Drosophila melanogaster: one gene and its partner. The protein of the gene in region 2 purifies or fractionates together with the protein of the main gene of each other region. This does not show direct contact. Each region holds a gene or a part of one and is shown on either strand. Other genes may lie near its edges.

What was found. Proteins that work in one complex are often made in the same cells at the same time.
Region 1: the proteins of magu (region 2) and dally purify together in Drosophila melanogaster (affinity purification with western blotting, with the first as the bait; one study listed by BioGRID). This does not show direct contact.

The regions. Positions count from the first base shown.
Region 1 is NT_037436.4:8,825,805-8,830,549, forward strand, and holds the start of dally (division abnormally delayed), read left to right. Parts: upstream 1-1,700; 5' UTR 1,701-2,428; coding exon 2,429-2,699; intron 2,700-4,745. UniProt on the Drosophila melanogaster protein: Cell surface proteoglycan that bears heparan sulfate. Functions as a coreceptor for growth factors and morphogens, such as the products of dpp, to regulate signaling and distribution of these ligands.
Region 2 is NT_033778.4:10,050,577-10,055,559, forward strand, and holds the start of magu (magu), read left to right. Parts: upstream 1-1,964; 5' UTR 1,965-2,059; exon of another isoform or gene 2,060-2,419; intron 2,420-2,518; exon of another isoform or gene 2,519-2,817; intron 2,818-3,601; exon of another isoform or gene 3,602-3,712; coding exon of another isoform or gene 3,713-3,991; exon of another isoform or gene 3,992-4,000; intron 4,001-4,983. Other genes in the region: COX7CL (cytochrome c oxidase subunit 7C-like), read left to right, coding at 46-173, 230-242; sel (seele), read right to left, coding at 447-763, 958-1,125, 1,226-1,310; Def (defensin), read right to left, coding at 3,713-3,991.

The DNA.
Region 1 (4,745 bases), on a different chromosome or scaffold from region 2:
GTAGTGTACATTATAATTTATAACTTTATCTAAACGATGTGGTGGTGTTTAATTTTCGACCTCACCTTTTCCAGCTCGTTTTTGTTTTTTGTTGCCGTTTCGCCATCCCATCACCATCATCATCATCATCATCATCACGGTTGTTTCTGATGTGGATTCGTTTCATTGGAGAACTGTTTCCGCTTCGCATGACTCACTTTTCGCTGTTTGCCCCGGGGTCTTGAGTCTTCTCCTTTTTTTTTTCTTATTTTTTGGGAGGTCTTTCTTTATCGCACACTAATTTGAATAGGATTCCATTTCGTGATGAACATATCACCGGGAACGGAAAACATCCATGGGGGGTGGGAGGGCGTTTGCGCCCAGCTGGACGCCCGCAACTGACCACCATGAAGTTCCCGCTGCCCTGGCTATATAGTATCTTGTTAATGAAGAAATAGATACACAGACGCCCCGAGACGCCTAGGTATTTAAGATCGAGGTCGGTGCCCGCGGGGTGACGAGTGAAAGTCCGGGGAGAAGAGGCTGGTGTGTTCGGGTCGTGCATTGTCTGCCACACCGCTGCAGCCTCAAGACAATCGCTTCGTTTTCGCAAATTGCAAAGGGAAAAAATTAACAAAAGAAAAGAAATGAAGAAAAAAAAACAAACGATACCACCACACGTGCTGTGCGAGGTCATGACACGGCTATCAATTTGAACAGAAACATTTAGCCCTAGGGAAATAGCTGCCAAGCATCTGAGACTCTTCAAAGGCGTGAAATCTGAGCCTGCTCCACGGGTTCATCAAGCCGATCGTAAAACATAGCCTATGAAATAAAATTAGAACTCATTCAGACATCAATTAGAACCGAGCATGCAAATTTCAACCAGCGGCATCGATAAAAGCCCGGATTAAAAGCCACCGGAGCACCCGAGAAGACCACTGTGAGATGGATTGATTTACGTTGAATATGCAAATTGCAGCGAGCCAACGTTGAAAGCTTTTAGAAGAGCATTTCGAGAATTTGAATAAATATTTAGGCCCATCGGACACAGAGAAAAATAATCAGAATCAAGCCAGCTCCTGTGGCAGATGACACGGCCAGGGAAAACTCGAAGTTGGTCCTGAAGAATGCCGGAACCCATAAATAAATGCGAATCACTATTGAAATATATAAAACGAAAACAGGATATGTGTCATATCAAATTTTATGGAACTACGTAGATTCATTGGCTGTCGAAATCGTTTGGCAATCATCGAAGAGAATAGATATCTTACGAAAGCTAAGCTTGCGTTACTAACTTTAATTTCCCCTTTTACTCATACTACATGCTGTTAATAAATACAACATCTTATAAATTGTGGTTGGGCATTCCTTAATTAAAATACTTTATAATATCTAATAAGCATTACAAAGTTTGTGGTTTAGTTCGAAGCTCGTTTTCCAAAACTCTAAAGACTCAAATTAATTAATTCATTTCAGATTGCGCCCTTGTATTACTCATGTATTCTCGGCGTTAACCTGTGAATTAAATTGAGTTCGCATAAACACCTCTATTCATTGCACCACTGTGCCAACATCTGTGCTCGCCGTTCTCTTTTGTTCGAAAGAGAGCGTTCGGATGGTTCTCTTAGCGCCGATTGTCGAGTGCCGAGTGTGGTTCGTGTTCGCATCGTTAAAGTTGTAGCACTCAGGGCGGATGTTTGATTTCGATGGCAAAGTCAATCTGTTCGGGTTTCTCGTCGTGGAAGGTTCGTTGCGCGCGCGGAAAAACTGAAAATATCGGTGCGAAATTCGAGCGGAAAAACGCTAGAAAAGAAGGCGAGTGCATTTCCTCGACCTGAGAACGCCGGTGGCCAAGGAGCTTTGCAATTAAATCTATTTTCGCCGACCTAAGTACACAAAACGTAGGAGAAAATTAAAAAGAAGAAAAAAAAAACAAATCTAATCGCTGGCAAATCAATTGCTAAGGAATTGAGTACTATTCGTTGTTATGTCATGGAAAGTCTCTGAATAAGTTAAGAAAATACTTGTGAGAAATTTAGCGACCTTTCAAAACTAGAAAGTAGAAAAGCAAAAAGTGCTAGACACGCGCTCTCTCTTCGACCACCACCCACCACCACCCACTATCGCCATCCCACGTTTACTACCACGTTTATTGCTCACGCGTGTTTTTGGGGCCTTTTGTTTTGTGCGCTCGTGTTTGTGGCCGTGTGTGCCAGTGTGTGTGTGTGCGTGTTAGCCGGCAAGTGCATTTGTGTGAGTGTGTGTGTTTGTTGCCGCGAACAGCTGTTCACCCAGACAGCATGCAGAAGTAAATACGAAGAAGTGCTGCAAAATAGAGTAAATAAAATAACCGGCTAAAATAAAAATAAGAGAAGCATTCAAAGGCAAATCAAATTTAGCCCCATCATCCACTGTGTCTGCACACAGAAATCACCCATCAAAAATGGCGGCCAGGAGCGTGCGGCTAGCGCAGCTTTTGCTATTTACCCTGCTCTGCGGCTTCGTCGGCCTGTCAGCCGCCAAGCACCTGGACCTGGATGGTATCCACCACCACCAGCACCACCTGCACAGCGCCACCACGCACCACAGACGTCGCCTACAGCGGGACTCGCGGGCGAAGGACGCCGTTGGGGGATCGACCCACCAGTGTGATGCCGTCAAGAGCTACTTCGAATCGATCGACATCAAGTCGAGTGGGACTTACAGCGAAAAAGGTAAAGTTCACGCCATCCATCCGTAGAGTTATAATATCGAGTATGCACTTGGACATGCGGGCTGGGGAAGAAGCGGGGAACGATGGAGGAAGTTAAAGCTACCAATATGGTTAAGGCCCCTTAGGAGCAAACGTACTAACTTTAAACTATGCAGAGGAAAACGTATGTTATTTCCCCAGGTCACTAGAGTGGTTCGAATACTTAAAGTCTAAGTTATCTACTCCATTAAATAAGAAAGAGGTACATAAATTGGGATTATTGATAATGGTTTTTCAATTTAATTACTTTTGCATCCTCTCCGTTTAAAAACATTTCTTTTGCGGGAAATTCATTGCCTTGATTTCAGAGTTTGTCTTAACCCTCGCCTCGCCATCAGTCTTCCATACTTCAACCAAGTAAATCGCGCGTCAGCCAAAGTTTTTGCCATCCCGCAGCTGCAGTTTCTCTTATTTCTAGTCCGTTCTAGACCCCATCCGCTTCTCAATCCCCGCCAGAAACTAGAAGCATATGCAAATTCATTGAACTGAGTGAAACCCTCGAGCGGGCAGCCACTCGAGGCGAACTATGACCACTCGAACAGCCGGGCGCCGTTTGCAATTAGAAGATTGCGCATTGAGCAACGCCTCGGAAAAGTTTTCGACGTGCCGTGGATAAAGTTTTTGGCCGCGCCAGGTTCATTACATATCGGATCTGGCACCTCGCAGATGCAGAGATACATAGATACACAGGCGGCGGCATCATTTGTTATTCTGATTTCTCGACACTGCCATATCAAGTGGCACGCATCTGAGGCCAAACTGTGTGAAGGCTATGGAAGGTATATTTATATTTACCACAGCCGATATCCACAAGATACTCGACATATTTTTGTTTATGCATATTTCATACCCGAAGTCAAAAATAAGACCGAATAACCAAATAATGCAATACAATCCGATAATATCAGTCGAAAACGAGCGAATGTACCCAATATATATCTGTTTCGTGTAATTGAGTGAAAAATAATTATTATTGATTAGCCGACCTTGACTTGGTATTTACGCGTTTACGCACAATTACATGATACACAGCCGCAAACTCGACTGGAATACAAATGTATCTGGCGATGATGTTGCAACTTTTCCCTCCAATGCTTACCTGTCTGCAGAGGTTCTCGGTTCTCTTTGCTCATTCTGTTCAGTCGTTCCCACACGCAGGTAGTTAACGCCAAGAAGAACTATCTATGAGATACATTGCTGAGCAGACCGCATTGCCATGGCATCAAAGTGTGAAGAACCGAATAGCCAACCGAGAGTTGGCGTTACAAGTGCATGTTTGTGTGTCCCAGAGACTTATCCACCTGAATGCCAGAATGCCCAATTGAACTGGTAGCTGGAAGTTATTAGCGCTGGCTTTGAGGAATTTCAATTTGGCTAATGCCAGGCGGCGTATCTCCGATCAGCACCTATGTATGTATCTCTGTATCTCTGGTCGTTGCTCCTGCTTAAGTATGCCGAACCTTGTTTTCGACATTTATTTACTGTTTACATAGTTCCACTTGCGCCTGCCTCCGCCTCCGTAGAATTTATGCCCCGCCAATGTATCTATGTATATCTGTTAATGTATCTGTATCCGTACAGTACGTATCCGTATCTCCATCTATATCTCTTTCTGTTTGCTCTGGAGTGTGTTACTTTTACGTTTATGTGCTGTTTGTGATGCTAATCTCTCGTCGGTGCCATGCATACGATATGTTTCTCCCGATTTGCTTTTGCCGTGCAGTTCCCGGTAGAGGCGCTCGGCATAAAACTAAATTTTAATTTAATTGCGCACACCACTCGACTGCTAATTGAGTTGGCTTTGCTTTTGGGCCAAAAAAAAAAAACAGTATTACTCCGTGCCTATTAAAATGAACATTAACATTGGCGCGTTACAAAGACGCACAGGAAGTCGTAGCTGCAGTATCTAATCGTATCGCACAGTATCTGTATCTGTTTACCTGCAAGTATCTGTAGTATCTGTATCTATGCTTAAGGCATAGCAGTTCCAATGCCCCCGACCGTGTTA
Region 2 (4,983 bases):
CAACACGCAGCTAACCATTCTAAGAACTTACAATTTCCCTCACAGAACTTACCCTTTGGCTTGGATAGTCCAATGCGTTTCACACTATTTTACCTAATTGCGGGAGTCGTGGGCTTTGGGGCTCCGTTCCTAGTTATTCGCCATCAGATGCTTCGTAATGTAACCAATGATCCGTAAGTAATCCGAGTAATCCAATAAAATCGTATCGTTATTAATGTTTGCTTTACAGCAAGGATGAGTAATCCCAAAATGACATAGAACACTCGTTAATAAATTAATAAAAATACATTGCACATGGAATTTATTGTCGTACATAATTTGTAACACTTGGCATGGTTTTCTTTACATTAGCTAAACATAATTTTCGTTCGAAATATCAGTACAAAGACCTCCACTGGCGGCGATCAAGGAAATTCGTTAATTAACTAAGCTTTCACTGGGACAAACTACAGTTCCTCTTTGCCATCAAAGTCATACTCCTCCTGGACCGGCGATTCGTCGCAGTAGCTCGCTTGTTCTGAGCAGATCTTGATGTCTAAATCGTTTCCGAGCTCTTCGGCCTGGAAGGCTTTAACGAAGATCTCATCGTTGTCCTCCAGTACTTCGTTGCAGAAGTGCCCCAGGCTTTTGTTGAGATCACCATCTTGCACAAAGTCAACCAACGAGGAGTCTGGGTTCATCTGACCATTGATGATCATCTTGAGGAGTGTGAATTTCCCGTTGCTCTTGTAGGTTGCCTTCAAGTAGTCGTCCATTTTTTCGCCTTAGAACGGGAAAATATTAGGAATGATAAGCAAAGTGTTATCATTAATAGAATACCACATATAACTATCTTCATTGATAAACAATAGCTACGCTCGAAGGTAAAACTTTTGACTAACGTCAAATGTTTTAAGATTAGACTGGTCTTTATCAAGCCTCTATGCTATTCCGTACCATATGGTAATAATTACTTACAGATCTTCTCCATCAGTTCGGTAAGGAACATTTCAGATTTCACTAGGCGAACTTTCTTGCTGATCGAATTTCCCTGTGCGTCCAGCCGGAATCCACTGACATCGGCCATCTTGTGGGGGTCCTCCTTGGCAATGGCCTCCTCCAGTTCCGTAACCACGGCCTTGCACACTGTAATTTATGGAACCTCAATTATCCGGGCTCCCAGGGCCAGCCAACAAGTGCACTGCCGCCTGTTGCTGGCGCGCTGTTATGTGTGGATTCTCCTTACCGTGACACTTGACCTCGCGGGAGGTGAAGCTGTAACCTTGGGCCAAGGCCAGCAGGCCGAACAGGATAAGCGCCTTCGTCAGCATCTTTTTAATTGATTGTTTAATAGTTTAACGCGTGGAAACTAATTGCATTAACCACGTCAGCAGAAGCGCCTTCCGTTTAAAAGTGCGGCGTTGATAAAGACGTGTGCTGTATTTACGACGACTTAAGAGCGACGTGGTTCTTGATGCTCTGCAGCGATAAGTGAAGAATTCTACTTAATTTATGCCCAAGATGTGGTGACGAGGGACGCGGTCAGTGGGTCTGGGTCAGCGTTCACAAGAATTGTGGTAAACGTTTTAAAGAAACCTTATTGATAATACCCGGCTATCGATAGAACTTTTCTAGCTAACGCCAGTTTTGGCTATCAAATATTTTTAAGGTGACCATCTCTACCTATTTTAAGCTAAAAATGAAATATGTGTACTTGTCGTTAAGAGATTTAATTTGATGATTCACATAAAATGATGTCGTTTAACATTTGTAAATCGTTTGAACAAAAAAAATATCGATAGTCAAGTGCGCGCGTTAATTCAAATCTTGATCGTAGCACGATGCACGTTGAAATGTTTAAGTTTGGGGGAGAGCTGCATTATATACATATGTGCATCTCAATTCTCGTATTCTCTTAGCTCTAGATCGAAAACTTATGTACATTAGCCGATGTGCTACTATATAGTGAGCCGATAACTGAAGAGTCAGTGCAAATGGAGAATCGCTCGCGAGTGGTTGCTCTGTTTTCGGATCGAGATGTGAGGACGAGGGGTTCGCGTAATTAACCGGCAAAGCGTTTGTAAATTAAAAGAAACCCACAAGTCGGCCGCGTTCCTCGATTTCTACATACTCTTATTAACCATTATAATTGGCGTTAATTAAGTGTCGTGTTTCTCTCTCGGCGCGTGTTTCTCTTCCCTATTCCCCTTGTTCGCTTGCACTGATGATCATTTTTCTTGGCGTCTGTTTGTTTGCTCGGTTAATTGATAAGAACGAATTGTAGTCGTCGGACTTGCCGTATTTATAGAGCAATGCCGCAAAAGAAACGGAAATGCAATGCAAATTGTTGCTATACCTTTTAGCGTAGGTTCAATTTTTTGACCCTGCCAAACGGAAAGTGGCATTCGCGGGCTACGAGATAAGCGATCGATGATAATTTATTCAGCTATGAATGAGTTCGAGAAGCACCGCAATCTTAAATAGAAAACACATAGATTTAATGTGGATTTTATTTAAAAATATATAGAAAAATATATATCTCCTTATTAAAATCAAGTGCAACGGCACAAACCTTTAACACAAACACCTTTAAAGCCCTTCTTCGAACAGAGGGAATTGCACCGCTCAATGCAGGACTGTCGCCTTGGGCGGACATGTTCCTTCGCATCCTGGATAAGACTCCTTTGAAGCTCCTTTTGCAGAAGTCTATTCTCGGAATCCTTCGGAATAGATCGAACCTGCATTAAGCAAACCGCAACTAGAGTTAGCGCCAGAATAATCGTGATCTTCATGTTGTGATATGAAATCGAGAACTGTTCCAGCTCGTTCAGGTTGCATTCGTGTTTTATAGTAAATTGAAAGGCTGCCGGTTTATGATAATGAGTATTTTTGTCGTAAGAATAGAAAATATTATTGTTTCTTTTCAAAGTTATGCGGAATAAAGTATATGCGAAAGCTGTTTCCGTTTGTTGCTCAGTTAGAAACTGACTAATTATGCCGTTATATGACATTGTATGTTTGGAAACTACAGCAAAAGCTTTATGTAACCAAATTATATTAAAGTACAACGCAAACAATCGATGGGAGAAATTATACAAATTTAAAAAGAATTTCAAATTTGTATTGCTTTTTTAAGTAAAGTTTACTGAGCTTAATATTTCTTTATTAAAATCTGCCTTGAATCGCCATGAAGACCAATAACTGCTCCCGTTAAGAGCTTTTTTAAACAAAGTAAATATATACGTATATATTTGGTATATATAGATCGTGCTCCTCGGGACCTCAATTTTTTTTTTAGCTCGATTAGGTTTAGTTAACTTATATGGTAAGTCGCTAACGCTAATGACCGATATTTTGTTGTACGAATTGGTAATGATAAACGCAGATTATTTTCACAGACTAAGACTAAGGAACATACACAAGGAATAATTAAGTCGTTCTTCTATGACTTTGAAAGTTATAAAGCCAAAGAAATATAAAATATTTTGAAAATTTTCTGTGATCAATATTTATTATTAAAATAGTAGCTTAACTATTAAGAAATTTTTACAGTCCCAGTTCCTTCTTACCAATTATTTCCATAAAAAGTAATTAGTAATAATTACAAATCATTATAATATTTAAATATCTGTCGATTAAAAGGATCCATTTATATATAGAATTTTTCAACGTTTTGTTTTATGTGTGACACTTAAAAAACGAAAATTTTTGGTGTACACAGAGCGAAACGAAATCAATTGCGGCAAACGCAGACGGCCTTGTCGTTGCAGTAGCCGCCTTTGAACCCCTTGGCAATGCAGTGGCCGGCGCAGGCGGTGTGGTTCCAGTTCCACTTGGAGAGTAGGTCGCATGTGGCTCGCTTCTGGCGGCTATGCTGCAGCACCTCCTGGTGGGCATCCTCATGCACCAGGACATGATCCTCTGGAATTGGATCCACATCGGAAACTGGCTGAGCCTGCGCCACGCAAGCAAGCAGAGCAAAAGCGATAGCCACGAGAACGAAGAACTTCATCTTGGAATACAACTGGAGAGATACTGTTGTTGCAGATTGTGGTTTCGCCGAGCTTATATAGCAATGCGACGGGCTGATCGATTCGGCCCAGGGACTCCCACCCGGTGACTTACCTTCCCATTGTCTCTTTTTCTGTGCAGGAAGACACGTCTCGGGGGTTTTTAATTTTTAAGTTCACTGCAAATGGGAGAAACCGTTGTCTAGATCATTATTTCATGTGCTTTGCCTGGAAAATATTGACAATATTTCATAGATAAGAGCAAAATACAGCCGACAGAGCCCGTTTCTGCAATAAGTTATTTGCATTTCTAGGGATTTTAACTGCCTTAAATTTTAGGCAGTAAAGTATATTCCACATGACAAGTTAATTGTAAAAAGCAACATCTACGAAATTAACCATTTCAAATTGTTTAGGCCTTACTTGAGAAAGAATCTTTGGTTTGCGAAATATGCAGGATATTTGTATATATGCAACGTTGATAAAAGCCTAAGTAAATATGTGCCCTTTAGTAGCATCCAATTTCGATTTTATTACTCCCAAACTGTTGAAATTAGCTGATGTAGGGGAATCCATATTTAATCATCTGAATTTCTAGCTAACTGACCGATTGGGTGCCACTTTAAGGGCTATACTCACAGCTACACAGCTACACAGTTGGCTCAAGCAACTGAGATACTCGGTTACGGATACATAAACACATGCGACAATAAATAATTTCTACCGAAAAGTCTCTTCATAATGCCGGGCAAATAAACAAACAAGAATCACACAATGATTAGTTGGGCATACAGCGGCAGGGGCGGGTGTACTTGTATCTGAATCCGTATCTGCGCGTACGTGTATCTATATCTGTATCGGCATCTGCATCTGGTTCTCAGCCCAGTCGCGCTGAGCCGACAATCCCGATCGAATCCCACGACCGAGGCTTTTTCAGTTGCCCTGCTCCTTGGCTGGCCGTTGCCTGTTTACCTTTGTTATCGACCAGGTTGTC